Linked DNA regions of Rhinolophus ferrumequinum. The protein of the gene in region 4 interacts with the protein of the main gene of each other region in a pairwise test. Links are inferred from orthologs where the notes say so. Each region holds a gene or a part of one and is shown on either strand. Other genes may lie near its edges.

Region 1 (7,701 bases), on a different chromosome or scaffold from region 4:
CCAAATGTGAATTTACTAGGTCATAGATTAAAAATGTGAATTTAAGGTTTAGCTTTCACCTAACCCATTTCTTGACCCCAAAACAAAAGTTCATTTGAAACCTTAGATTTCTGGAGGCAGAGAGTGCTCAGCAAACTTTTACATTTAAATTGTCCCTCCTCCTTATAACTTTTCCACAACAAACAGTTCCTTCATCATAACTACTTCTTCAGTGTGGTAGCAAATAAAATCCCCAACAATAGGAAATACAGGAACATGTAAACTGAGCTGATCATATATGGGTGAGAAGCAATAATTCTCTCTCACAATTTTTAAGTTATGGTAACATAAGGATAATAATTAACAACAGTAAATAAAACTAACCTTAGGAGGCAGATCCTTGAAAAATGCTTCCATTAAACAGCATTGAGAAGGCAGTAGCTGTAAATAACAAGTTTAGGTCTTAAAATCATTTATAATAAATTTCTCTTCAACAACAGAAAAAATGTAGATGATTGGAAGAACAACATTCTCCAAGCAAGATATGAAATATGAAACTCCATTTAGCCAAATATGAATTTGATATAAAAAACTGAGAACTGGTTCCTTTCAATTATACTTTGCCACTAGAACTCAATATCATCAGGAAAATATTAGTTATTATACTTATAATGTTTTTACCCTCGTTACATAAAATTACATGAAATTGGGCTACGTCAAGTCATAAAAATAGTTCAGAAAAGAAATTTAGCATTTCTGATTCTTTTTGCAGGCCCGATATGACTTGAGCCTGGATAAATAAACTGCCAATTCATCTAATTTAGCAGGCCCTGTGGGTTACAAATCCATTCAAGAGACTGTCCCTTAGAGGCACTAATCAGATATATTGTCAAAGAAGTCTACACGATTAAGAAGCATTGCCATAGTTTAACTGACAAGGCTCTTCCTAGTTGTACTTCTAGATGGAAATGTACCAAAAAGTTAATAGTGGGGTATATCTCTGGGTGGATAGAATTATGAATAATTTTATTCTAAATCAAGAAACCAAACATAAAAGATTAAAGACATTCACATTTCACACTATTTCTTAATGAGCAAGAAGAGAAACCAAATTTGGTATTGAATTTTCTCACAAAAATCCAGAATACATTTTAATGTCTATTAAGTATGAAGAATGCAATGAACGTACCATATAATTAACTATCAAATATAAAAAACAAATCTTACTCATTTTGCTAACACTATAGCAAATCTTACCTCGTCTCCACACCAAAGTCAAATTCGTTGCATTTTGAAGAAGTTAAATTCTTAAGTCAATTACAAAATCTTGAAATACAGAATACCGAAAAATAAACAAACCAGAGAAACTTCCGTAACTTCTATGGTACTCAAGGTGTTAGTTAAAATAAGAAGTAAGCACGGATTTCACATTTTTTTTGAAACAGGTTATGACTGCTAATATGGTTTTTCTTATAACCACATATCAAAACTTTCAGTTGACATGGCTGCCTTTTTTTATATAACAATATTGAATATTTTGATATATTAATAAGTAATGAACTAACTCCAGATGTGGCAATAATTTTGACATATTACTGCCTCAATATTATACACCTTGAGATTGAGTTCTTGAGATTGAGTTTGAACCTTTATACAGTAAGGTGGAACAGCACTGAATTAAAAATCCAAGGAAAAAAAGTATTATAAAGAAGAAGAGTCCTATTTATTTAAGCTCCAAAGAAGCTATAGAAAGGGGAGGAGGCGCTAGTTTTTCTGTCTAGTTGATTTTATTCAGTGTGCCAACTGAATCTGGTAAAGGGGTTAGAAGAAGGGAAAGAAGATAATACAGCAGTGGGGTGTTGTTCTGAGCACAGAAAGCAGAATGTAACTGCACATTGGCAAGAGAGAAAAAAGTTACCAAAGACAAGCTAACATCTCCTGTCAAGAAGATGTACTTAACAGTAGTATAGAGAGTTAGCAGATGAGTAGGAAGTGGCATTTGAGATGTAGGCTGAGATGCGGTAGGAAAGAGCCTTGGTGGTAAACATGAATAGCTTAAATATAATGCAAAATACAGTAAGGGCCCTGTGAAGCAAGTCCAGAAGCCCAAGATAATGAATGGCTACAGTACAGCTTTTCAAACTAACAGGTTGATATTTAGATAAGGAGTCTTTAAAGGGGAGGTTATAAAAATCACAAGAGAAAACATTCAAAATTTAGTTGCTTTTTTCTTCTTTTAGAAATAAAAACATAAGATAGATTTAGAGACACCAGAGTTGTTTGTTGTTTGTTTCTGGTGTTTTCATAATTTGAATAAATAGGAGGAGGAAAACAAAATGAAGCAAACTCAAGGTTAGGCACTTAAGAAATAGTCGTGTGACCAAATCCAAAGAGAAGAAAGATGACAATTAAGGTAGGTGAGTAGGATCTTAAAAATGATATGGGATAAGAAATTCTTGGCAACTTGTCAGTTTTAAAGTGTTTAGAAAGACACAGTAAAAAGAAAATAAGGAGAAATAGAAAAATAAATCATAAAGACAATGATTTATTATATCTTAAAAGTTTCAGAAAGAATAATGTAATATAGTGATAGGAATGAATCATTTAATGTGCTAAAACGATTTTCCAAACTACAAGTAAATCTCTTAGAATTATTTGTGGTTAAATGCAAGTCTAGTTTATTTAAACAGCTGATTCTTGTTTCTTCAGAAATAAGTTACATTTCAACTGGAGAAATTTTACTAAACATTCTGAAGAATTCAGCTATTCATCACTAACCCTTAATAATTAAAACAAATTTAATAATGAAAGTTTATTGTGTACTGCACTTTTAAATTTATTCCTTGCCCAGTGTTACTTGAATGTTTAATAACTTGTATTAGATCTTAAGGCTGAAAAGCTGACATCTTAGCAAATTCACTACTTTTACCACTAGGTGGCGAAAAAAAACAAGTAGTATCTGTTATCAAAGCTAGTACAAGGTCCCAAGTACTTGAACAACTAGAATTTCCACCAGGTGTCAACCAAGAGGGAAAAAAGGAGACTATTTCCCCCACTGAAATACACAAATTAAGTTCTAAGCCTAACCATCTCAACTCTATCAGAGATAAACGGCCTGACATTAACTGTACAAATAGTTTACATATTTATATCCCCATAGAAGGTTGTTGAGTCCAATATATTGTCAACTAAACTCCAACTAAATAAAATTTTGTTTCCTCCAAATAAGTAAGAAAACAGCAAGCTCAATGAATTTAGTTTATTGTGAATCATAGGGTCAAGTTATCCAAATATATGCACAAGAGTGCAAAACGTTTTAGACATGAACAGCCCAAACTCTTCCAAAGTATATTTGGTTATGTATAGATAGCTCCAGATTCATATATTATTTTTGTTTCTCTTACAGGCAGCTGATTGTAAAGAATCTAGGTAAATTTATGTTGTTATGCTTTTAATCCCAGTGTCATTTTATAAAAAGCATTGCCATTTGTTACCAAAATAGTCACAATAAAGAGACAAATGTTATCTGTCTTTAAGATGTACCGAGTATTACGTTGAGAAAGTCCAAGGCTGAAAATTAAAGCTTTACAGAATTAAGTCCTACTTATATTGCAAATCGTTTTTTAAATACCATCTTATGTGCTTCACTAATTTCTAACAAAGATTTGCCGATCTTGTTGTAAACATTATGTCTGCTAAAACACTATGTCATACTACCTTTTATAAGGTGGTACTTTTTTAAGGCCGAACTCTATTCTTAATCCTCGGGACACAGGAGTTATAATCATGTCATACCCTGCAACTCCAGCTGTAGGTGGTGTCTTAAAAAAACTTTTTCTTCCTTCGAGGAAGTGGTCAAGCCCTTCTTCACCCTGGTGTCATCATGCAAACAACTTGGTTGTTTTTCACTGCTATCTAATTAAGAGATGGAAGAGAAAGAAGTTGAGGAAAAAGCAAAAACCTACTGATTAAATTATACTTGCTTCTCTTCCTTGCTCCTTACAGTATTCTCTTTTAAGGTTCCTTTGGCCTCGACTGAGTTCATTTCCACCCTGCCTACAAAGCAGTGGCTTTTCAAAAAAAGAAAATCTAAGCCAAGAATGCTCTTGTCTAAGAATATTATTCCTTGTCTGGTTTTATTACGTTTTCTTTTGAAATTCGTTAGATTATACTCTGCAACCAGCCGCTTGCCCAACCGGTTTCTCCCCTTCCCCCATCGCTCTTCAATCATCACTTTTTCCTACTCCCAGCCAGGCGGTAGTCAAAACCCTGCCGTGCCTGTAACGCATGCTTGGGGCTGGTCACTCAGCAGTTCATCCTTACTTGGCTTTACCAACAACTCCCCACCCAACCCTTCTTCCCTAGTGACCCCCTCTGCCATTATCTTTAAATAGAGTGTGCTCAGTAACAGGCTCCAGATAGCACTTCGAGGGTTTACGGTAGCCTGCCTGCCTGCCTGCCTACCAATAGGAGCCCACAATGAAGGGAAGTCAGGTTCAGCCTCCCAGCAGCCCCAATGTCTTCTTCCCCAAGCTGTACACCTACTGTATGAGCAGTCGAGCAAGCGAACGAACAAGCGAACTAGCGAGCGAGGCGCGGGAGGGGGCGCACCAGAAGGGCGGGCAACAGCCGCGGCGTGCGCATGCGCACCGGGGTTGTTTTTCACAAAGCTGCTCTTAAAGTGAGCTGGCAGCCTCCAGCCGCCCGTCTTTGTAAGGAGACCACTGAGACTAGCAGAAGCGCGGAGCAGCAGCTTCTAGCTGCCCTGACTTTTTAAGAAATCTCAATGAACTATTTGTAAGGAATCACTGATCTTGCCTGCAAGCTTTTTGCACGGCAAAGACATCGATCAGTGTTAAGTGAAGATCACATTTTATATGTGATCTTGACTTTTTTGTCTTACATTATATTTTTATAGATTTTGTTATAAACATGGTGCTGGGAAAGGTGAAGAGTTTGACAATAAGCTTTGACTGTCTTAATGACAGCAATGTCCCTGTGTATTCTAGTGGGGATACAGTCTCAGGAAGGGTGAATTTAGAAGTTACTGGGGAAATCAGAGTAAAATCGCTTAAAATTCATGCAAGAGGACATGCGAAAGTACGCTGGACCGAATCTAGAAACGCCGGCTCCAACACTGCCTATACACAGAATTACACTGAAGAAGTAGAATATTTCAACCATAAAGACATCTTAATTGGACACGAAAGAGGTAAGTTTTTATATTACTCAAATCATTAAACCTGTTTTCTTTGGGAAAGTACCTTTTCAATTTTTCTGAATTAATATAATTTTACTCCTAGCATAACACACAGCAGTTTGATAAAGATTAGCAAAGTTGGAAGATTTGGATTCTCCTTGACATTCATCGTGTGTTAAGTCGTAATGCATGCAGGCATCTGCAAAGTGACTGCAAACTGCACTTATTCAACTACCTCTATACCCAGCTTGGTGTGTGCCATACGCATTTGCAATCCATGTGCACCTTACACATTCTGCTTAAATCCAATTCAATAATTTTACTAATATATTTTCAACTGAATTGCTAAAAGCTGCATGCAGTCCAATATGAGATTTTGTCCTTGTACTCTGCAACCTTAGATCTTAACAACTAAGCTTCAATGAAGAAATGGAATAACATTTTTAAGTGGGTTAATAGGTGGATTTCATTTTTAATATTGACACGCACAAGACTTCAAAGAATTGATCATTGTTCTTTGATAAAGGGTTTCTGTGGCTTATTTTGACATATGGTATCAACACCCCACGTGTTTTTTCCCCCTATTCTTTCCAGTTCCTTTAGAAATTATATCAGACATTCTCTATTTTAAAGGACAGTATTTGTCGTTATGATAGGTTTTAAATCAGTTTTAGAAGCCATTTAGGATCAGTAATTTTTTTTTTCCGAGCATCATGCCTAACTTTGGAACGTGCATTCAATGAAACCCCTGCAAGTCAAATGAAATTGAAAAGTATTCGGCACATTGGATTTGATTTTTGATTAGAAAAGGGAGATAAAGGGTTGTCAAAGGGAGAAAAGGTCCTGAGGTTTCCAATCGATTGTTTAAATCGTTACATTGTGGAAATATAGGAGACTCTAAGCTTGTTTTTCTAAGTTTCCACCCTTTGTTAGAAGCGGTTCAATCCTGTTTCGGACCAGTTCTGGGGGGTGGTGAGGAGGGGCGCTTATTCAGCTCTCAGCAGATTGGTTACACGCGTCAGGTGGTGGCGATGACTTAATTCCTAGACCAAGAAGAATATAATGTTAAAACTGGTTATGTAATTTTGTACTTCTCCTTTTTAATGCAGTATTTAGTTCAAATGTTGACTATTTTTGAAAGAGTAGAGCACATTTTTACCTTTATTTGTAATATTAAAAAACATGCCGGAGGAAATGCTAATTAAACTAAGCCAAGTGTAGATATGAAGGATGCTTTCAGTTACAGCATTAATGTACTATTTTTAAAAATATTAAGATGAAATCAATTCTTTAGTTAGGTATGCAGTTACACATAGGTAATTTGCATCCTGAAATAATTTCTAGTTAATGTTTCCAAGCAGTAATGCTGGTAAGAAATGCATGCCTAATGACAGTCCTGGTATATGCAGAAAAGCAAATACATGAGTTTGTGTTTGAACCTTTCTGGACATTGCAGCTTTCTATAAAATGGTTGAGAACAAACAAAGGTTTTTTTAAGGAGTTGAGGCTTGCAATGGGGTAAAAGTAGAATAACGATTTATGGGGGGAAAAAACAGTTTCATGAGTTACTCCATGGTTTTATTACGTGGGATTATGTGCCCCGTACCCCCACTAGATGCCCCACAATTCCTGAAAACGTGGACGAGCTCCTAGCCTGGAATAGTTTCAATGACTTAAAATTGGGACCTCTCAAACTAGCCTGGTAACTGAGACCCCGCCCCAGGTGACCGGCGATAGGCGGAGCCGGGTTTGTTAGCCTGTTGCTAAGGCGATGCCAGGCTCTGATTGGATTGGGCGCCGGCGGGTGGGGAGAGCGCAGGCCGGGGCGAGGCTTGGAACCGGCGTGCGCCGGTAAAGGTCCCTCCAGAGCGGTCGACCCCGCCCTACTGGCATGCCACGGCTTCTGGAGGTGTCCAGGGCCCCTGTCACACACATCACGTTCTGTCGCCCCCTCACCTCGACTTGTTTGGCCCCCGAAAAAAACGACTTCGGGTGTCAACGGAGTAGAGGGGAGAAACTCCTGCTGGCCTTACAGGTGCCGAATGGCCCTGGGCGCAACTTCAGCTGACAGTCCTATTCTGAGGGAACTTGCATGTGCCTGGTTCGCAGGACCCCATTTTAGTATTTTTCGGATAGAAAGTGTCAGGTGGCTTCTGTTAACGCTTGTTTTCCTCTTAGCTGAAACAAAGCGTGTTTCGCGACCAATGTAGTCACCAGACCGGCTACCTTAATTTGGTCTGAGGGGAGAAAGCAAAGGCTGGCGGGGAGGAGGAGGAAAAGTGGTAGTAACATGGAAAGCAGGGTAGGAACCTGGACTAGTATTCCTTGCCCCCTCATTGTTTGCCGGAACCTTTCCTCCCCTCCCCCAATCCCTCACCGCCCCAGTTTCCTTCACCGCAACTGTAAAGGTGTCAGGGTGGCCCGAGCCAGATCGAACCGGTCACCAGCTGAGGCGTATAAAGCGGAAGCGCCGCGGCACGGTCGCCCCGCCCTCCGTTCAGCAAGCTAGGCTGCGCGAGCGC
Region 2 (7,453 bases), on a different chromosome or scaffold from region 4:
GGCAACACCCGTTTGTAATACGCAAGATTTTTCTTAAAGCTTACCGACACCATCCTCCAGGTGACGCTGGTAGCATAAGAAACATCAGTCATTACAGGCAGGCAATATTAGGTGACCATTTACATTATAAGGGAAAAGGAAAACAGGTTAGAAGAATGAAGACTGAAAACTTATAGTTAACACCAACATTACTAGTTTTACACTTCATAGGACCCAAAGCCAAGAGGTAAATTTCAAGGTCAAAGAGGTGGCATCAGAACGTCCCCTCACTCAGGTGCACTGTTCTGTCCTCCCGAGAGCAGTCTACTTACCTGCCCTGAAGAAAACCCACATAAACCCACTGGGTTACTAGAATTCAGACAGACCCTTTCCAAAAGCTCTTCTTAAGGCCTGTGATATTAATAAAATGGAGACTGAGTCTTTTCAACAGCATTCAGAGTTTAACATACAAACATCAACTTAATGGGTTAAAAAAAAAATAAACTTTCCCATTGACCTTTGCCACGTCCTTTCCAATAAATATATTCCATTAATTTAAATGACAAAAAAATTAATAGAACAGATATATTGAAAGTTATTTGATAGGAATTACCTTCATAAAATGGTTTATCACAATTCTGAGATGACATTAGAGCTTGGATTGAATTTTCAATGCTGGATGGCTTATCCAACCCATCAATCATTTCAGATACAGGTATCACAGATTTGCAACACATGGAGGGGTCCATTAGTTTGCAAAATGTCACCTTAAACGTCTCAGAGAAAAACTGTGGAGCCAGGTAGGAAGCTGTAGGAAAGCATTTTTCAAGCCTGCTTACGAAGACCAGAAAGCCAATTTTTTCTCTTTCCAAACTAGATTCTGTTCTGGTTACATCTCTCCATTCTTCCCTTACCTTCCATTTCAAGTTGCCTCAGAATAGCTTGAGAGCCTCTAAGCTCCAGAACATACCTACTAGTCATTTTTCCTTAACCTCCATTGACCTTCTGTCAAGCCCCATGCCTTATTTCCCAAAAGGTTCCTAATGCTCACAGGGTGAGCAAGGGCCTTTCTAAAAAGGTCCAGAAAGGTCTCTGGCTGCATAATCCCAGTACAGGTCACTGGGGAGAAGAGGCTCACTTAGGTATGACTTGCTATGTGGACATTAGCGGCTTTATCTCAAAGAAATTAAAGCTCTGGGACCTTTCCAAAGAAACAAATTCACACATTCAGTCCTGTTTCTGTAAAATTTCCAAAATTAATATATTTTACATTTTTTTTCTTATATAAGGTCCCCAGAATTACAAAGACTTCAGCCCCAAACCCAGATTGTCCCTGGTTCAGATGAAAAGCTCCTATATAATCTATGACATCATGTCATGTCACCACTGAATCAACAAATGGGCCCCGGTGGTGGTGGTTTCAGAACACACCTAGTTCAAGTGTAACAAGGACACCACAGGAAACACAACTCTTCAAGCATGTTTCTTACCTGGATAATCCTAAATACTGACATCAACATACTTCACATATTAATGTAAAAAGCCTTAATAGGAGCTTTTCAAATGATTCTGACATTTTTATGGTGCCTCTGGATTTGCAGGTTTTTCTCTAAGAAATTCCCTCACAAAGCCAGCGAAAGGGCAAATGAGCTATAAACCAGGCAAGTAGCTCTCGAACTTCCCGCTAAAATTTGCCACGAGAGCTAGTTAAAGTGCAGATTTCGGAATCCCACCCCCAGAGTTTCAGAATCTTTATGTCTAAGGTGGGGCCCAGGCCCATCATCCTCCCAAGTCTCAGAAGGTTGTACACGGGATGAACATAGCACGGTGGTGGCGGCAGTTGTAGTTCTACCACTGTGTGACCTTGACGCAGAAATAAGTAATGTTCATTTAGAGAAAACGTAAAATAAGGTTAAGAGACAGGGAAAGTGAGAGAATAACCGGAACTGTAAGTCTTAGAAATGCAGGTGGTATCTAATCCAAGGAATTTGTTAGGGTGTGGCTGGCCACCGACTCCTTCGCCGAGAATCAAACTGCAGAACCGATGTGTGAGGGTCTCGGGAATGCAAAGGCACACTGGCTCTTCTCGCTTAAAAGTCACGTCTCATTTTTAATCACCAGGCAGATGGGCACAGCATCAAACCTGGGAGTGGGGCCCCACGCCCGCCGCCCTCCCACCCGAATCCACGCCTAGACTGCAGGATGGGGGTCTTCGCACACAAAGCCTGACCCCCGGGCATAGTAAAATGGGACGAGCACGATTCGGGCGAGCACGGTAAAACAGACTGGAATTACAGACTTCAGGTCGTGGCAACGAAAACCAGGAGACAGGGCGCCACTCATTAGGTGATTCTTTAATACAAGTTGGGATGTGGAGGAAGGCGAGAAGCCCCCAAGACTGGAAGAACGCTCTAGGAGGAAGAATGCGGCTGCTTCACGTTTCCTCGGGCACCCCATCCGCCGCACGCAGGGCTCGGAGCTAGCATGTGGCGACCCCCACCCGCCAGTCCCCGCGGGGCCGCACGCGCGACCCTGAGCGGCTCCCTCCCCAGAGACCCCGGCCGTGCCAGGCTGCAGGAAATGGCCGGACGCCCAGCGGGCGCGGGAAGTGCGGGCTGCAGCCTGGCGGCCGCGCCCAGCGGGCTCGCGGGGTCGCCCCGGGCCTGGAGGGAGACGACGCCCGGCTTCCCATCCCTCCCCTACGCCGGGCCCCCGGCCGGCTGCCCGCGCTCCCGGCGCGCTCACCGCCTTCATGGCGGAGGCCATGTCGTCGTAGCGCTCCGCCTGCTCGGCCAGCCGCGCCCGCTGCAGCAGCTGCTCCCGGTCCCCCATGTCGCTCGTGGCTCGGCCTCGCCTCGCGCCCTGCTCGTTCGCTCGCCCGCCCGCCCTCCCGTCCGCGCCCCGGTCGCCGCGGAGGCCGCCGCCGCGCACGCGCACTGGCTCGCCGGCCGGCCGTAGGCTCAGGCAGCAGGCAGCGCAGCCGCTCGCGCCCTCTCTCTGGCTCGCCGCGTGCGCTGTGGCTGCCGCCGCGGACGCCGCGAAAGGAGGAGAGGCGGGCGCGCGTGGGGGATGGGCGGACTGGAGGACGCCTGCGCAGTGCGAGGGGCTCGGCCGGGCAGCCGGGAGCGGCGGGAGTGGGAGGGGGGAGGGCGGGTCGGCCCTAACGGTCTATTTCAAGGTGACGTCACCTACTATAAATAGCTGTCGCCGCCGCCCCGCCCCAGAGCCGCGCAGGCGCCCTGCGGGTGCTGCATTTTACCGCCGCATAGGTGGAGGTGGGAGAGAGAAGCGTGGGGTGGGTACTGCGGGCCAGAGGAGGGGGCGCGGTGATGGCGGCTGCGCAGGCGGCGCATTGGCACAGCCCCACCCTGAAAAGCGCCTCTGAATCCGGGTTAGAGGTCTGGCTTGAGAAGGGCCCAAAAAGCAAATAAACCTAGTGCTTGGAGAATCCGGGAGGCTGCGTGCCCAGAGGGGCGGGTTGAACCCGCCCTGCGGTCTCGCCCGCCCCGAGCCCCGCTCCCCCCTCGGATGGGCTCCGCTGGGCCACGCCCTGCACTTGGGTGTGCACCGGCCCGGGCAAGATCGGGTCCGGGACTTTGAGGACAGACCTCCCCACCCCCCGCCCCCCATACACACACATTCGCTCCTGCCCCATCCTGATAAGTGGCCGTTGGGCATACTGTGCTTTCCCTGAGAGGAAGGACTGGGTGGCCCTGCTGGGACGAGTAACTCAGGCACACCTACTAGGAGCCGGCCCAGTGCTATGCCTTTACAGGTATAATACTATTTAATCCTCACAACCCACCCCGCAGGTGGGCACAGCTGGTCTCCCCATTTTTCAAAGCCAGGTTAGTGACTTGCTCAAGGTTACACAGCCTGTAAGTGGTGGGGCCAGGATTTGAGTTCAAACCCAGGATAGACTTGCTGTGGCAGAAAGGGGGATGGACCGCCTGGCTGGTCACTAAGCCCATCCCAGTCCTGGCATTCGATGTTGAGGGTATTTTGTGCCAAGCCCTGGGTTGGGGCAGGGACAAGCTAGGAAAATCCTAGTGGCTAAAACAGGCTCTGACTTAAATTCAGCAAGTCAGGGGCAGCACGGGACAAGGGGCCTTAGGCTCTCTGAGAATTTTGTTGAGTGCCTACTGCATGCTCAGCACTGCGGGTAGGAGTAGGTACAGAATAAGTAAGACACAACCCTTTCCCCCTCCCACTCCCACTGATCCCCGGTGCCCCGCCAGCCACTCCCACTGCCTCAGAAGCTGAGATCTAAATACACAAGAGCAGGTAAGCTGGACCTTGAGGGAGATGACAGTCAGGGAAAAGGTACTAGGGATTGGGGTTCAGTATGGGCAAAGGCTTGTCAGTGAGGATAGAAACCAAATGGTAAGAGAGGCCCGGCAGTGGGAAATGAGGTTGGGTCAAACAAGATTATGGAGTGTTTTAAATGACAGACTGAAGAGCTGAGGCATTGTCCTTAGGTAATGGGGAACCACCAGAGGTGTGGAAGCCATTATTTCAGGAATCTTGCTCTGGTGAGTAAGATGCATTAGAAAGGAGAAGGGAGAAACTGGAGAGTGGAATTTTTCTGGACCTTAGTTTTACCATCTGGAAATTGGACTTGAAGGACTGTTAAAGCACTGTAGAATAGAAATCCTGGAATGTAAAAACCGGCAGGACCCTTAGAAGTAACCGCTGTCCAACTCATTATCCTGCATAAGGGGAAACAGATCTAAGCGGGAGGAGAGGCTGGCCCCAGTTTGCACAGCGAGTGAGCAGAGCAGAGGCATCCAAACCACGTCTCCTGCCGGCCCGGCATTTTTCTTCCCACTGTGATGCTAAAATGAGGACCCATGAAACAGGATTTGAGCTAGGTCTGGGGGGAGGCCTCCACCCCAGGTTTCACTATGCTTTGAAGAGTCACCTTTGCACCTGAAACAATAAACAGCATAGAAGAAAACATAGGTACTAATCTTATGGACCGTGGGTTCAAAGAGCATTTTATGAATTTAACTCCAAAGGCAAGGGAAGTAAAAGCTAAAATAAATGAATGGGACTATGTCAAACTTAAAAGCTTCTGCACAGCAAAAGAAACCATCAAAAAATAAAGAGGCAACCAACTGAATGGGAGATTTTTGCAAACAGCATCTCCGATAAGGGGCTAATATCCAAAATATACAAGGAACTCATACAACTCAACAATAAAAAAATACAACCCAATTGAAAAATGGGCAGAGGAACTGAAGGGACATTTCTCCAGAGGACATACAAATGGCAAGTAGACATATGAAAAAATGCTCAACATCACTAATCAGCAGAGAAATGCAAATAAAAACCACAATGAGATATCACCTCACCCCAGTCAGAATGGCTGTCATCAACAAGACAAATAGTAACAAGTGTTGGAGAGGCTGTGGAGAAAAAGGAACCCTCATACACTGTTGGTGGGAATGCAAATTTGTGCAGCCGCTGTGGAAGACAGTGTCGAGTTTCCTCAAAAAATTACAAATAGAATTACCATTTGACCCAGCAATCCCTCTCCTGGGTATCTTCCAAAAAAATCTGAAAACTTTTATCCATAAAGACATGTGTGCTCCAATGTTCATTGCAGCTTTATTTACGGTGGCCAAGACATGGAAACAACCAAAATGTCCTTTGATAGATAAGTGGATAAAGAAGTTGTGGTATATATACACAATGGAATGCTATTCAGTGGTAAAAAAAGATGATATAGGAACATTTGTGACAAGATGGATGGATCTTGAGATTATAATGCTAAGCGAAATAAGTCAGACAGAAAAAGTAGAGAACCATATAATTTCACTGATATGTGGTGTATAAAACTGAAAACAACAAAAGAACAAGACAAACAAATGGAGGAACAAAAACTCATAGACATAGACAATAGTTTAGTGGTTACCAGCGGGTAATGGGGGAAGGGGATTCTAGCGGAGGGTAAACAGAGTCTAATATATGGTGCTGGAAGGAGAACTGACTCCGGGTAGTGAACACACAATGTGATTTATAGATGATGTATTACAGAATTGTACACCTGAAATCTATGTAACTTCACTAACAATTGTCACCCCAATAAACTTTAATTAAAAAAAAAGTCATCTTTGCTAACTACAAATGGAATCAAGGTTTACAAACCAGGCTGATGTTTCCCCTAGTGAATATTTTTAAAGAGTCTGACAGATAATAACTGTTCCCCACCAACCCTGCCCTCCATGAGGATAGGGTTCCAGCGAGAGGTGGGAAGAAGGCCGGTGCTGGGGGTTAACTCTTAGAGGGGTTAGAGCCCTTCCAGCTTTTCTGATAATGTTGGACTAAGGTTGATGTCAAAACAGTAAAAATTAGGTCGACTGGAACATTCTAATTAAATTCAATTCTAATTGATTTCCTTTCTTTCCTTCTCACCACGCTTCACTGTCTCCACTTCCTCACCTCCCACCACCCTTCAGCCCAGTGTACTCTGGCTCTGCCCCAACTCCTCCACTTGGAGGGCCCTCACTGTGGCCACCAGTGGCCTCCTGTTGTCAAATCCAAGGTCATTCATAGTCCTCACCTTCCTGGCTCTCTTAGTTTAATGACCCTGCACTCTACTGGCTTCCCTCTGCTGCTCTGGCCACTCTTCTTCGGTCTCCTATGTGGGCTTGTCTTCTCAGCCTACCCTGAAATGCTGGGGTTCCTCAGGGCTCTGCCGCGGGCCCTCTTCTCACTCTGGGTGACCTCATCCACACCCACTCTTAGACGAAAGGAACATCTACCACATTCCCAGCACTGAGCAAGAAGATTTGCAGAAATGAGGTGTTTTTTCCCTCAAGATACCCTCATAGAGTAGGTACCGTTTCCATTCCCATTTCACAGATGAAACGGGCTTGAAAATGTTCCATGACTTGAATAAAGTCACGCAGCTGGTCATCAGTAGAGCCAGGATTTCATCTCGGGTCTGTCAGACTCCCAAGCCTGATGGCCCCATGCTGCCCTGTGGTGTTAACTGAGAAGGGGTCAAGGGGTGACTCTTCTTGGGGGTGGTGGTCATTCACACTGTGAAAAGCACACACAAGCCTCCCCTCTTGTAGCCGACACACTTCTAGCAGCACCCATCTTCACTCTTGGGAGAGAGCTGCCAACTCTCCAAAGCTTCTTAAATAAATACCAGGACAACCACCTTGGACAGGTCACCTACCCCCAGGCTTCTAAGTCCCCCCAAGAGACATGGTCTTTGAACAACTCCAAGGAGAACCCCTGAGCCAGGTGAAGGGGGCTAATGGTTAAGGTGAAACATGCTCTGTGGCCCCAAAGCTCAGAGCAGGCCCCCAGCGCCAGGGCCAGGTCGGTTGTGTCCTCAGGTCTCACTCGGGGAATAGAGCAAACTCCCCTGGCTACCTGAGGACATGTGTGTGGTGTGATGAGGGGGAAGGATCTGGACTTGGGTTCGAATCCTGCTCTGCCAGTTACCAGTTGCATACTC
Region 3 (6,863 bases), on a different chromosome or scaffold from region 4:
CATCTCCAGAAACATGGGTACATTAAGATGTAAGCCGAGGCTAAATAAAAATTTTCCGGTCAAGAATTAAAAGGACCAGACACATTAGGCTGGGAAACAAAGCCCGAAATGCATATACATGCTGCCTGCAGTGCCCTCTTCCATGTTTCCTAATATATTCCCTGAAGTTCTAACATGTCTCGAGTTGCTTTATACATGTTAGGTTGTGTAAACCTTATACTATAAAGTCTTTGATCTAAAATCCAATTTTGTTATTTGGGGATTCATCGATATTTAAAGATAAATAGTATGCAGTGGGCACTCAGTTAACTAGCTAAAAAAATCTGGATGGGAAAAAGGCATTTCAATATTATCTTTACTTTTTTAAAACTTTTTCAAGCCCAAAACAGATCTGGCTTTTGTGATAGTATTTTTTCAGTAGCTCCTGATATTTTTACCTGAATAGCCCAAAAATGTAAGCCTTAGTCAACTAAAGTAAAAAAACAGACCATACTAAAAACTTCTATGCATTAAACATACAAAATCAAATTAAGCTTTTTAATTTAAATAAATGTTTTATATAATTTGCCAGTTCTAACAATTAGAATTCAAGAAGTAATTTTGTTCTGTGTGATAATATAATTGTGGTGATTGTGTTTTTTCCAAAGTCCTTATCAATCAACATGCTAAACTAATTATGAGTGAAATATCCTGATTATCTAGTTAAAAACTCGAGGAAAAAAATAAATGTTAGAGGGGATAATAAAACAAGTGGCAAAAACAGTGGTTCCTTTTACTGTTTGTTCTCCTCTTGTGTATGTTTGAAAATTTCCATAATAAAAGTTAGTAAAACCAGAGCAAATGAAGATTAGTAATAAAAACACATTACAAGTAATGGTTGACAAACTTATCAGAAGTTTTTTAAATCTTCAAAAATATATGAACTTTTATAATTATCTCCAAACCAGTCCTATAGGACACACAAATATCTGAAGGGAAAACTATTCTGACGTTCTAGTTTCCAATCACTCATACTTTAACTCAAACAAAGACTATCAGCTGGTTTATAGACCAGAAAAATGCTATTAGCAATCTTTCTGCTAGGCAGAAGCAAAGCCACCTAACTGTTATTTGCACTCTTACAGAAATCTATCTCCAGAACTCTTTACAGTTGAGTAGCACTACACTCTGCCCAAGTGTCACTAATACCACTTTTTACTTTTTAGATTGTTTTAAAAGTTGGTTCCTAAAAAGCTATGATCTTGGCCCATAGGAGGGTTTGCAAGGAATAAAATAAATTTTAAGAAGCCAGAACTGCATACGGCCAAAATGTTACTTAGAAGTATCCAAATTCCAAAAAAATACAATCCAATAAACTTCACATAAGATAATTCCCCCATAAAAGTATAGAAAAGCTTCCTGAGGATCTTTCAAAAATATTTAGCACCATTTAAAAGGCTGAAACTTAGAATTCCAAAATACCTGCTATTTTGTTAAGGAAAGAGGTATTTACTAGTTAATTCTACAACAAATGGCTGCAGCATGATTGTAAACAGAGGTGTGCAATTTAAGAATGTGATAACTAGAAAACAAAAACTACAATACGATGTTTTCTGAAGCTGAAAGAAGTCATGTCTAACGTGAGCAAGTAATCCTAAGACAAATCAAGTCTATCCTCGCCGAGAACAGAAGGAAAGCCAGGCTTCGGCCCTTCTATACTAGCACTTTGAGGGCAATTAGCCCACTTTTAGAGTAACAGCTTAGTCAAATAATCTTTAAGTAATTTTGTAATTGAGCCCCAAAATGATCATTAGTTATTGTTCGTGCACGGTGTGTAGACATTTTGCAATTAGCGGAATGCAGAGAGTTGAAATATTAAGACTTATTTTTCCATCTATATCCCTGACATAATGGTAATTAATAACAACTACTAGTGAAACCTAAAACCTAATGGAGAAAGTCAAACGCCAGTGTTTTCAAAAAAAACTATTACCAATAAATTAACGTTTATCAATACATATATACACACATACATACATACATACATACACACACACACACACTCTTTAACCAAGATCCTCTGAAGCGAGGAACGCCACGTCGGGACTTGTCCACACACGGCGGACCTGCAGGGTGTCGGGTTGGGGGGAGGGAAGAGTTGTGAAATCCAGAAAAGTTGCCTAAGCAAAGAAGTGACTCGCCGGGTAAGATCTGTTAAGATCCCTGGGAACTCGGCGTAGCAGTCGTGCATAAACAGACCAAGAAAAGCGGAAAGTCAGTCCGCGTCCCAGGTGAGATAGGAGACCAGGCCAGAACAGCTAACTCCGCCCGCGGCCCGCCAACATGTAGGTGGCGCAGCGAGTCTCCGCCTCCTTCTCCACGGGCGACTCAAACCAAAACACTTGGGTTTCACTCCGCATACGCAAGCCCGAGCGTCCTTTTTGGGCTCGACCTAGATGTCTACCCAAGCTTACGACGCCGGCAGCCCCCTCTACCCTCGAGACACTCACCCCAGAGTTGAGCCTCGGGCGAGACCGTTTCTTCTTTGGAGGGTCCCCCGCGTCACTCGCCCCCCGCCAAAGAGCCCACGTCCCACACGCCTCCCCCAAATCGCGAAGGCCTACCCCGGGGCCTCCCCGCCGTGTGGAGCGGCCACCCGTGGCTTTTTCCAACTCCACTGCGAACCGAAGTTGCCCACATCCCCGTCACAATCACGGTCCGGGAGGAAAGGCTTGTCCTCCGCAGCGAAAGCGTCGTCATTCGGCTGCATCGTCACCACGGAGACCGTTCCCGAGACCGGCAAGGCCCCTGGACTCTAGGGGCTGGGGGGCGTCTCACGAGCTCCGAAAGAGCTCCAGCCGCGGTCCGCCCGGCACACGGCACTGGGCCGGGGAAAGCACTTACCCAGTGAGGAGCTCCCGGTCAGAGGGGGAGCCTTAGAGAGGTTTCCGAGCCTAAGCCGCCATCAGCAGCCGAACCTTTTCCGCCACCGGTGCCTCCCTCCAGCGACCGGCTATACGGCCCGCCCCCTTAGGCCCAAAAGCCGGCACACGTCACTTCCGCCCACGGGGCCGCCCCTTCCGCAGGCACTGAAACACCGCCTCCCGGCTAAGGCCGCCGCCCCCCCTTCTGTGGCCCCCGGCCACCAGGTTTACCCTAACGGGTCCGAGCCGGCTTTTTCCCTCGACCCAGCCAGCTGGGTCTTTCTTCGGCCTTGTCGTTTTCGCTCAGAGACCTGGTTGCACAGGGTCAGTTTGGATTTGCATTTTTGACTTTTTAATTATTAAGTAACTTTCCAGTTAAGTGGAAAGGGTAGCCGAGAGGTACATGGACTATTAGCATGTCATTGCGTGGATCTTAAGCGAATCTTTTCATGTTACCGAGAACCGTAGAATTGAAGGAGCGACCACACGGCCAGGGCTGCAAACCCTACGCCCGAGGCTCTCTCCCCAAGTCCTGGTCCTGTCCTGTTCTTGTTTACAAGGTTTTGTTCGCTGTAAAATCTGGGTAACCTAGGAGTTTGTCAGTTCTAATGCGCTATGATCCTATTTCCTCTTGCTCCAGCATTGGCCTCTTTCTGCCCTTATTTCTATGAGTTGTTAACTGCTTTTGTTATCTGTGTTATTTTGTGTGAATTTTGTCCTGTTTTCTCTGTTCAATTATAATTTCTAAAATTACTTTTGACTATTATATCTTACTTCCTGTATTAAGCATTCAGTTTCAATCCCAACTCCACAGAAGCAAGAGTGTTCTGTTCTAGTCATATTCCTGGGTTGCCATAAAACCCTGCTAAAATTTGCAGTATCACCAGTGAAGAAAGGATACTTAGATCCCATTAAACGGTAAGCACTGTGTAAATACAGAACTACAAAATCCTCTTTCATATAATTTCAACTTCACTTATACACAATTAAGATTACAATACTTTCAATAACACAGATCCTCAATACATGCTGACTGATTTATTTCCTATATATTGAAATCTTTGAACTTGGTCCTGTTCTGTATATCCTACTTGATTATAGAATTTCAGAAGAATCTGAAATTTAGGTCATTTAGTCCCAACTTCCTTATGTTACAGATGAAGAAAACTGTGATAGCATCAATAATTGGTGTTACTGGTAGCAACCTCCTAGTAGTGGAAATATCTGTCATTTAAATATAAATATAGCAGTGTACTTTATAAACACAATTTTAAGAGATGTCACTATTTTTTAATCACATTACTTATTTACATGTAATAAATTTCTAATTACAATTTTCAGTTAATGAAATCAGAAAAACTATGCTTGATAAAAACGTGATAATGGGAAAACATTTTTTACGCAAGTATTTTTATTTTGTTATTTTTAATAATTTCTTGAATTTTTAGACCTTCTTTTCCCTCATGAAGTTACTTATTTAGGAACTTGAACTTGAACTTGCTTTAATCCTATGAATCATAATCCCTTGAATTTTTAATGTTTCTCCTAGCAACATAAATATATATCGTTTTGGTATTTAATTGAATTTTTTTTAAATTAGCCTATTATATGTATAGCGGCATACTAAGGCTATATAACATATGGATCCATAATTCCTTATAGGAAACTTTGGGGCCAGATGGATTTGAGGATTCTGAATTTTTCAGACTTTAGAAAAGTATACTTGGTTACATGACATCCTATGTGGTTTGAGGCAGCACTCCCTAATCAAGTTAACATTTTTTTTCATGAAAAAAATATGAATATCACACTACTCAGTAGGAGTAATAAAACACATATTCTTGCTTCATTTCAGATCAAGTTTTGCTACTTGGCCACCATGAGTTCAGGTCACGTTTTACTGACAAATGAGTTCAGGTCAGGATAGGCTTTGCCACCAAATGTTAAAACAATTTTGATTTTCAAAGCTTTTTGGATTTCAAAATTGTGAATAAGCGATCACAGACCAGTTCAAAGAATTATTAGAAGGTAAATCTCTCAGCATCCTATGATATTTCTGGAGTAATTACAATTCCAAGGAGTTTCTAGGAAGTTGTCCTAACCTATCACGGACCACTTACCCTGTATTTTGATTAGGAAAACGTCTAAAAGACTGTTCCTCTATTAGAAGAACTTATGATAGCAAAGGGAAGGAAATCAATGAATCCATGAAAATATAAATAACTAAAGTATAAAATATAGTATAAAAATAAAGTATAAAATAAGATTTTCAGAGATGGGAGGACTCAGTACAGGCTTGTGTGAGCAGTCTACTTTTCTTGGAGGAGGTACACCTAGACTCTTAAAGTTAGTAGGGTTTTAATGAAGAGATGGAAGAGTTCGAGTCAGGGTGTAAAAGCTTGGGCAAAGGGGTCAAGTAGGGAGAAAACTGTCAAAAAAATAATAATTCCCCTTTGTGGAGTACACAGTGTTTTCTGGGCATTCTGCTAGATACTGTGAGGTATTATCCCCATTTTGCAGGGGACTGTGGGTTCAGAAAAGCTAAATAACTTGCTCATTCGTTAAAAAACAAAATTGAGCTGAGTAAATTAGGAGATCTAATTGGCGTTATTAAGTGACTTATGAATTGGGCAGCATTTCAGTTAGCAAGAAGGGCGCTCCGAGGGGTTATACAAATGGAAGGTTTTTATAGGCAGAAATATGGTGGGACTAAGGAGGTAAGAGTGGGTTATTTCAGGTAAGGACACATTCCCTTAGGGGAAGACCAGAGGTCTTATCAGACAGATTACCTCACTAGTGTGGATCAGGCAATTTCAGAATGATTGGTTTAAAACTCTACTCCTGGGAGTGACTGAAACTACAATTACATTACATAGGTGTTAACTCTAGGTTTGGTATCATGGGCTTTTAGCATCAGTGATGCCGTTTTGGGCCTGTGGTTTTTCTTTTTAACACCACGGTCACAAAAAGGGCAAACCAGACCTGAACTCACATCTATGACTCCCACAGTTTACGCATTTTCCACCATGTCATGCTGCTTCTTGATAAGGGCTCTTCCGGCACTTACTGTGTGCTCTGGGTTATCCTAGGTCTCTAGGGAAAACAGAATAAACCATGGTTTCTTTTCTGAAGCTGCTTTAAATCTAGTTATTATAAGATGGTAAGTGAAGTGTTAAGTTTGTAGGAAATGGACTTAGAAATAGAAAGAAAGACTGACAAATAATAATTTTGGAATTAGTGTAACTTTGTTAAAGAAACTGGACTCTAAATTTGAAAGATTTAAAGGATCTGAAAATGTAAAGAAAGGGCTTATGTAGAGAGAAAAATTAAAAGAGCACAAATGAGACAATCAGGTGGTACAACATGGGGTGAAAATTAGAAAACAGTAAGTTCAAAGAGGCATGTTATAGAAATATTACACGTGTTGAAAGCAGGCAAAACAGACTGTTCTCATCTTTTGGAACATTGGTTTTCCTTAGAGTTTATGTTAAAGAGTCCCTTTGCTAGAAATGATTATTTCTTTTAAAAATAATACAGCTGTACACAATTGTTTAAAAAAGAGAGCTTTTAAAGATGGGATCTGAATAATGGTAGGTTTTGGATAGAGGATGCAAAACACTCTAAAATAAGGTTGTTTGTTTTCTCTTACCGTATGTTGGAAGATGGTTTAACATACTTGTGGGGACAGAGCCCCAAAAAGCAGTTTCCAGGCTCTCGGCCTCACATAGAAAGGTGCTGGCTCAGGTAGTAAATGGCCATCGACTGTGATCAAATGGCCATCAGCTGTGGCTAGTTGGCCGTCAGCTGTAACCAGTGAGCCATTAGCCATGAATATAACTGCTGTGGTTACGCTAGCAAAAAAAGGGGGAGCTAGCAAGAAGATGGTGGCTGAGTCTGCAAGCAGCACAGTGAGGGTTGAGAATTGTGTTGCTCCTGGTTCCTGTGTCTCCAACCCAGCCG
Region 4 (7,462 bases):
GGAGGGGAATAACCCTGTACTGGAAAGACAGTAAATATTTTGTGAAAAATCCTGCAATTTTATGCTGTCCCACAGGCATTTGATTCGAGTTTCCTCGTTAGCCCCAAAGAGAAATATTTATAAAGCGTTTATTTATAAAATGTATCATATTATTTATAAAGTTATAACTGAATGTTTTATAACCAACGCAAAAGCCTATTTCCAGCAAGATGCTTTGCAATTTTAAGAGCAAACAATCAGCAGTTTTCGAACCTCTCCACTGAATTTTACAACATCAGAATAAGAAATAGAATAATAACAGTAATAGAACAATTACTACACTTCCAAGAGCAGACATTGGAGCTCAATTACTTCAACGCAACTGCCAACCAAATTTCATCATGCTTGGTACCAATACTCAGATATATTTCCCACCCTGTCTTCACCCTGAAATCTTCAAACATAATCAACTGGTGGAAGGAAATGAAAGTCTGGAAACAAAAGAGGAAAGAAATTTCAGCAAGGGACACATAAAAGAGGAGGGGGACAAAACCAGCATCCACAACCCTTGCCAACAGTGTGGAATGATGTGAACGGACGTAACGTGGGCTCCTTGCAGTGGGGAGCTGTGTGGAGAGCCAGCTCTCTCATCCACTGGCCATTAGCAGGGTGCCTCGCCAGACATCCTAATTTCCAAGATAAAGATGGTTTCAGAGCATGAAGATACTCCCTAGAAGTTTCCTGCATCATGCTATTTGCCAGGGCCAAGCCTCTAGTTGAAAAAGAAGTTAAACCAATATAAATGAGAGAAGAAACCTAGATATTAAGGAAGCCACTCCTGAGTGGGTCTAGGTTCTCTTAAAACCATTGATAAGGTGATCTGGATTCTTGTGGCCCACTCAACGGCGAGAGCTGGACTGGACTAGATGACCCCAAGAATGTTCCTGAGGAATTTTCTGGTAGTAGCTTTGGGTCAGGATCCCTAATCTGATTGCCAGAGCAGGTCTGGAGAAGTCATGCTCTGGGTAAGATATTAATCTCTCCTTTGATGTCAACCATTGCCTGCAGGTAGAATTAGGCCAAATTATAGCAGGACCACAAACACAATGAAGGGACAAAAATATCACACATACTTCCCCTTTGTGGCATAGCAAAAGTCTCTCTTATGATGTCATCCATGTGTCCATCCGTCACTTAACAAGCACTGTCTGGCCATCTATTGAAGGTTGTGCTTGACTCGGGGGCTAAAAATCCAAGACAACCTTCCTTACTCCCCAACTTGAAGTCAGCCAAGCATCTTAGTCTGCAGCTCAGGTTACAGAAGTACAGGTCATGCTCCGGTCCCACACTCTCCAGCAGAGCTTTGCCTTGAAGCCAGGACTTCCAACACCTGCCCCTTGCTATTCTCACAGCACCATACCTGTGGTTGCAATGCCTGCTTTTCCAGATGGAAAAGGACAGGCAATAGGAAGATTTTAAACAAGCTAGGTGCAGGAGTTTTGCTTTTCTGACTCTTCTATTATTTTCTTCTGCACCTAAAGTTCTTTCAAATAGTGAGAGCTGTAAACCATATGCAAGACATGAGATGGTCAATATTCAATAGCCCGGTGTCATCTCATTCACAGGTTTAGCCTCGCACTGCCCGCAGAATTGCCTCCTTAAAAGAAATCAAAACCCACTGTCCGAAGTACCGCTGACTTAGATTTCTCCACACTTAAGATTCAAGAATAAATTTGACTGACCTGTGATTGCGATGTCCTTATAGGCAACGGCATACAAGACAGCCCTTCACTTTTAAGTTTCTGTTACCTCACTAACTTTTTATCAACAAATACCTCACGGAATTTTTGGAAAATGTTCAAAAATTGTACAGAGAATTGCAAGAATGAAAGAAGCACCTTCGACAATGAGAATGGAGCCGAGACTGGATGCTCATAACCTGGGCCATGAGGGCTGTGGTCCAGAAGACTCTTTAATAACAAGGGTTCTCCCAAAAGGCTGCCTTGAGACACTTGACCAGACCGGCTTTCCAGGGAAAGATCAGAGGCACGGAGAACTGAAAACAAAGCCGTCTCCAAGAGAGCTGAGCTCCTTCCTTACTTAATACCACTGCTTTCCTGAGAGGCCAGGTGGCAGGATGTGGGACGACCCGGGCTGACAAAGACTGTCTGCCTGTGAGGTAGGGGCTGGGGCAGGGGCGTGCAGACCGCTCTACACTGGAGCCCCCAAAAGGCAGGCCAACGACTCACTTCTACGTGCACACTTCTGTTACACTGCTGCAACTGAAAACTACGAACCTCCTGCCCTGACTCCCCAGCCAACCCCTGCACAGGACTCTTTGCAGTGTCTGCAAGCTGTCCCTGGAAAGGTTAGCTGACTGAGCCCCCAACCCCGCCGGGATTTGTTGCCCGAGACACACCGCCGTTGCACTGGTCGTGCACAATCTGGGAAGAAACCACAGCATTCTGCAAGGTCTACGTGGCTATGAGCTTGCAGCTCTTGGTTCCAAAAAAGACACGAAAAGGAGCAGAACACCAACGAGCACCCGACTGAGCGGCCGCGGGGGCGACTCTCCACCAGTCAGCTGCAGTGTAAGTTCTCTGCATAATCTGAAAGGAATAGCTGGCTGGAGGAATCCAGGGCTGTCACCTGAACATCTGGCGCGGCAACCTCAAGTCCCAGCATTTCAAAACCTACACAATGAGCATACACGGCCAACAAACTGCCCTCCAGGACCGCTGCAAAACCAATGCCAAGTCGGCGGGTCCAGCCCGCAAATCACCGCCAAAAGCGCATCCGTTGCCCGTGCCCCGAGGAGCCCCGGACCGTCTGCACCGGGATGCAGCGGTTACCTCTCCCGGCCGCCCGATCCTCTCTCGAAGTCCCAAGTACCAGGTCAGCACAGGCGAACGCCGCAGGCAGCGGTTGTGGTCGAGGTGGGAGCCGGGTGGAAGCGGCGCCCCATGGACGCCCGGGCTCCGGACTCGCTGGCTGGCTGGGCCGGCCGGGGGTGTGGAGCGCGCCCGCTGCCGCCGCCGCCGCCGCCGCCGCAGGTCTCCCGCGGCCTCTCTCGCCGCTCCGCCCCCGCGGGCTCTGAGCACTCAGCACTCGGCCCGCCGCGCAGGCTGTAGACTGCCAGTTCTCTTTTTTCCCTTTCTGTTTTACCGCCGCGGCCAGGCCAGCCGGGGATTTCCGAAACCCAGGGACTTTCCACTCGGCGGGTCACGTGACCTGCAGTGTCGCGGGCCGGCTCGCAGCGGCGCCCCGATCCGGCCGCAGAGCGGCGCCGTGCATCCCGCGCCGCGCCGCCCCGCCCCGCCCCGCCCCGCCTGCCGCCGGAGAAACTCCTGCGCCCCGCCCCGGGGTGTCCCCGCGTGAGTCACCTGGGCATTTCGGAAGCTGAACCCAACGTCACATCCATGTGGAAATCGCGATTATGGGAACTGTAAACGAAGGAGGTTTTTTCTCAGTAGTCGTTCTTCAGAAAAGCAATTGTGGAGAACAAGGGAAAAATAAAAAAAGAAAACCCTAAAAACCACCCCGGTGTCCGGGACCTCAGGCCTCCGGCCGGTTTGAACAGCTTGGGCTGTGCACGTGATGAATTCGTAGGGGAGCGCGAGACTCTAGGCCCCCGCGGGGATTTCGAGAAAAAGGAGCAGTCACGGTCTTGCTCCCTTACCCACCTGCGTCCCTGTCAGCCAGGGACCCCAGGCTGATGGGATGCAAGTCTGAGGTGACAGACCTCCTGGCCCTGCAGCCTTAAAATTCGCAGGAACCAGGCAGGTTTTGGATAAAATTAGGAATCTGAACAACTACCAGCCAACCCCATCCCGCACTTGATTGATTTAACCTTGTCCATTGCTACACACCAGGTGTCCAGGTGGCATCACATTCAGGTAGCTTTTCACTTCTAGTCCATTACTGTCCCTGCCATGTCCCCCTAAAACCGTAGTAGGAGTCTTTTTAGATGTCCTGATAATCACCTCCAAGGCGCGGGGGGGGGGTGTAATTACTCCCCCTCCCCTCCCTTATTAAATAGTGTGATAACCCATTGTCTGAATCCAGAGCGTGTCCGTGGAAACAGGTGTGAGCCACCTGGGCAGTGGAAGTGCGTGAGGGAGGGATATGAGGCCCTTTTACCACCCTGTTGGCCCATTTCCCAGAATGGCTAGACTAGAACTAGATTGAAATATTCTGTACGGTTGTCCCCTTATAGACTTCAGCATACTGGACAGGCGCGTTTCCTACTATTCGAATTCGAAAAACCTGCTCCTTTCTCCAGTAAGGACCTGCAGAGACTGGGAATGGGGCTGGGTGGAGCAAATGTTTTGGCAAAGGGAGACTTAGAGCAGAGCCTCGGTAATGGTCAAAGCTGGTGCTGGTCACGTGAAACTGAGGGCTGGAATGTATTTCGAATCCAAATCTTCTGGTATTTGCTCTCTTCGTGGTTCACAAATGTTTTTAGCTGCCAACACTCAAAACAATGGATTGTCAAGCTGGTAGTATCATCATCATCATCATGTTTGTCAGGTCCTTACTATATGTCAATCTTTAGACGAGGCGTTTGAAAGACATTCTGCCATTTACACCTCACAACAACTCCACTTTGCAGCTTTAGAAATTGACGTTAAAGAAGCTTGAGCCATTTGCCCAAAGTCTACACAATCAGTAAGTGGCAGAGCCGCAACTGGCACTGGGCCTGTCTTACTCCCAAGTCCATACTGTTAAGTCTTAACTATTAAAGCATTACTCTCAGAAAGGATCCTTCGAGGTTGAGTCTCAGGGCCCCCATTTTTATCCTGGCCACCAACCTCACAACACAAGGGTCACTTGTCACTTAGCCAAACGTGGACCCTGGGCAGCAGCAGAATGTGGGTTTGGAAGCCAGACAGGCCTTGATTCCTTCCTCAGGAAACTTTGCCGGGCTCCTTAAGGTGCTAAGAGATGAGGTCATCCTTAATCCTCAGACTGCTCTCCTCTTGTGCTGTCTTTCATCTCTTGGCTCTGGTCGCTCACCTCCTCCTGTAGCCTCCTTTTTCTGGTTGCCGTCTGCTCCCTGACTTGATGAGCTAGGAATGCAATAGCCAGAGTGACGAGCCTGAAAGACCAGGCCCATATCTGCCGCTCTCTATTGTCCTGAGGTAGATGCTACGCCACCTTGCCTATCAGGATTCATGACAAAGTAATAGCAGTGAGGTGCAGGAGTAGTCTAGAGCCCTCAATTTTGCTCTACCCCAATTTCCCGTAATTCTACTATTGGAGTGATGGTCTCTCTGAGGAGGCATACTTCGTTCTGTTCTTCTCTAGTTTTTACTGTCCTTTCCACCTTCTAAATCAGGACTCAGGCCCTACACTTTTCCCTTTCTGGTACTTAACACATGGGCAAGACCAATAAGAATTTTCTTAGTGGTGAATCAGAAGGAAAGAGTGGAAGAGGAGAGTGTAGAAGAGACTCCTTAAGAGAAAGGAGATACAAAATGTGGGGAGATTTGCCGATTCAATTGAAGCCAAAGAGATACAGAGTACCCAAAAGCCTGTAAGGGAATTTACTTTCTGTAATAGATCTTATCAAAATGAACAGAACTCTGCAAAGAGGAAGGAATATTCATTAACACCTAGCAGACACATGGGAGAAAAAAAAAAAGTGTCTCATTAGAGGGAAGAGGAAATCAGGTTGTGTGTGTGGAGTATTTTGGAGCTTTCCTGAGATGTGTGCCATTTTCACCATGGTGACAGCATTCGCACATCGTGAACTGCATACAGTGAGCATACGTGACCTCTTAGAATTAGTCTGTGGGCCTGTGCCTGAGCCTGTATGCTTGTACCACGTAATGAAGAAAATGGGCACCCCAAGAAAGTGGGAGGCAGGAGAAATCGGGTTGAAAAGAGACAGATATGGCCATTAGAAAGGTGATCCAAATCTAGCTCAGCTCAAACCACAGTTCATGAGCCTTGAAATCAAGAAATAGCCATAGGTATTTCTGAGAGTGTATGGACTTTCAGGGCATGGCGGTCGTAGGTCAAAATAAAATCGAACATTTTGTGTCCATGGTACAATTGTTCCCCTTTCCCAGCATTGTGCTCTGGTGAAAAGGAAGATCCTTGTTAAGCATATTTTGAAACAGCCCTTATGTAAGTGTGACAGTTTAGTTATTACATGGTCCTTAAGATCCTGCTTCAAATTTGAATGACCTTTGGCTGAGCTTTGATATTACTAAAGAGTAATGTTTGCACTTTGAAGGCTGCTATAAGAGTTAGCTCTGAGAAGACAGTAGAAGCTCTTTGTGGGCTGTAACTACGAGGAGAACTTGGATAATATTGTCGTTGATTTTATCATCATAGGAATGCCAAAGTCTCCTAAAATGCTACTTATCTAGGGACCTCAGATTATTTACAGGTATTACCTGGGATGAATGGAGAAACCAAGACCCAGCTTGGGGAAATGACTGAACTGAAGTAAGCCAATGAGTCTCTAGTAACAGGAACAAAGACCCTCCAGTGGAAGGGAGGAAGTGGGTTTAACACCAAGTACAGCTCCTATTATCCCACTTGGCCTGAAAGCACGGGATGCTGAAATCTAAAACTTGTCAGAAAATTCATGCCCCCAAGAATTCTGGCTTAATTTTCTGTCAACACTTGGCTGAAACACTTGGCAAAGTAATTTTATTTTACGTCATGAATATAAATATTCAATTCTTGGTTTCATTTCTCTTTCTGTGGAGACTGCTATTAATGACCAAACATGAGCAATGATGAAAGATCTGAAATGGGTGTTATTAGGAACCAACTGGTGTGCAGTGCTGGGTTTAACAGTAAACTGGGTGTTCACAGGAATAAATTAGTTCCTGCTAGCTGGAATATTGCAGGCCATTGTGAAAATTTGCCTTTGATGCACACTCCCTGTCTCTTCATTTGTCCTTCAATTCTCTCAGTCCAGTTTGGGGTGCCCATAATCCTGCCTCTTCGCCCTCTTTTCCTCCCATCTCCACAAAAAAAGGATTTCAGCTTTCATTCTCTCAGAAGCCTGTTTTCTGGGACTGGCTAATCTAATAAGGAAATTTATATTCATTTTCAAAAACAGACTGCAATGTATTATTGTGTTAACATTTCTTGAGAAACATTTCTATTGAAACCAGATCTTCCTAGAGTTTAAAGGTAGAAATTCCAAGCACAAACATTAGTAGGCTGGAGAATAAGCTGCTATAGTTCCACGATTCTGAGAATACATGGTTATGAGACATAGCATGGATTTAATAACAATGTGGCAGGTGGAGAAAACAACCTCATTATATTATATGTACCACACGCTCCTTCTTTGACTCACTGTCAATCGCCTACATTTTTTGATGTACGTAATTACATTCCTCTTTCTTCACTGTGTAGGGGAGGAAAGACTTTCCCTCTACCCTCCTAGATTCAATAGCTAGGTCTACGAAATAGACTCACATCAGGCAGATTAACAGGAGAATAAGTATACAAATGT

Evidence for each region.
Region 1: the proteins of TNFAIP3 (region 4) and ARRDC3 interact in binary tests that used the Homo sapiens proteins (3 or more experiments, as listed by UniProt). The two-hybrid records come from large-scale screens. The link is inferred for Rhinolophus ferrumequinum from reciprocal best matches to the Homo sapiens genes TNFAIP3 and ARRDC3.
Region 2: the proteins of TNFAIP3 (region 4) and YWHAH interact in a two-hybrid assay, tested with the Homo sapiens proteins (2 studies listed by BioGRID). The link is inferred for Rhinolophus ferrumequinum from reciprocal best matches to the Homo sapiens genes TNFAIP3 and YWHAH.
Region 3: the proteins of TNFAIP3 (region 4) and TAX1BP1 interact in binary tests that used the Homo sapiens proteins (3 or more experiments, as listed by UniProt). The link is inferred for Rhinolophus ferrumequinum from reciprocal best matches to the Homo sapiens genes TNFAIP3 and TAX1BP1.

What each region holds. Positions count from the first base shown.
Region 1 is NC_046290.1:59,999,128-60,006,828, reverse strand, and holds the start of ARRDC3 (arrestin domain-containing protein 3), read left to right. Parts: upstream 1-4,682; 5' UTR 4,683-4,911; coding exon 4,912-5,191; intron 5,192-7,701. UniProt on the Homo sapiens protein: Adapter protein that plays a role in regulating cell-surface expression of adrenergic receptors and probably also other G protein-coupled receptors.
Region 2 is NC_046308.1:20,743,601-20,751,053, reverse strand, and holds the start of YWHAH (14-3-3 protein eta), read right to left. Parts: upstream 3,002-7,453; 5' UTR 2,812-3,001; coding exon 2,725-2,811; intron 1-2,724. UniProt on the Homo sapiens protein: Adapter protein implicated in the regulation of a large spectrum of both general and specialized signaling pathways. Binds to a large number of partners, usually by recognition of a phosphoserine or phosphothreonine motif.
Region 3 is NC_046303.1:14,033,506-14,040,368, forward strand, and holds the start of TAX1BP1 (tax1-binding protein 1), read right to left. Parts: upstream 3,011-6,863; 5' UTR 2,884-3,010; intron 1-2,883.
Region 4 is NC_046286.1:83,811,062-83,818,523, reverse strand, and holds the start of TNFAIP3 (tumor necrosis factor alpha-induced protein 3), read right to left. Parts: upstream 3,011-7,462; 5' UTR 2,872-3,010; exon of another isoform or gene 2,832-2,871; intron 1-2,831. UniProt on the Homo sapiens protein: Ubiquitin-editing enzyme that contains both ubiquitin ligase and deubiquitinase activities.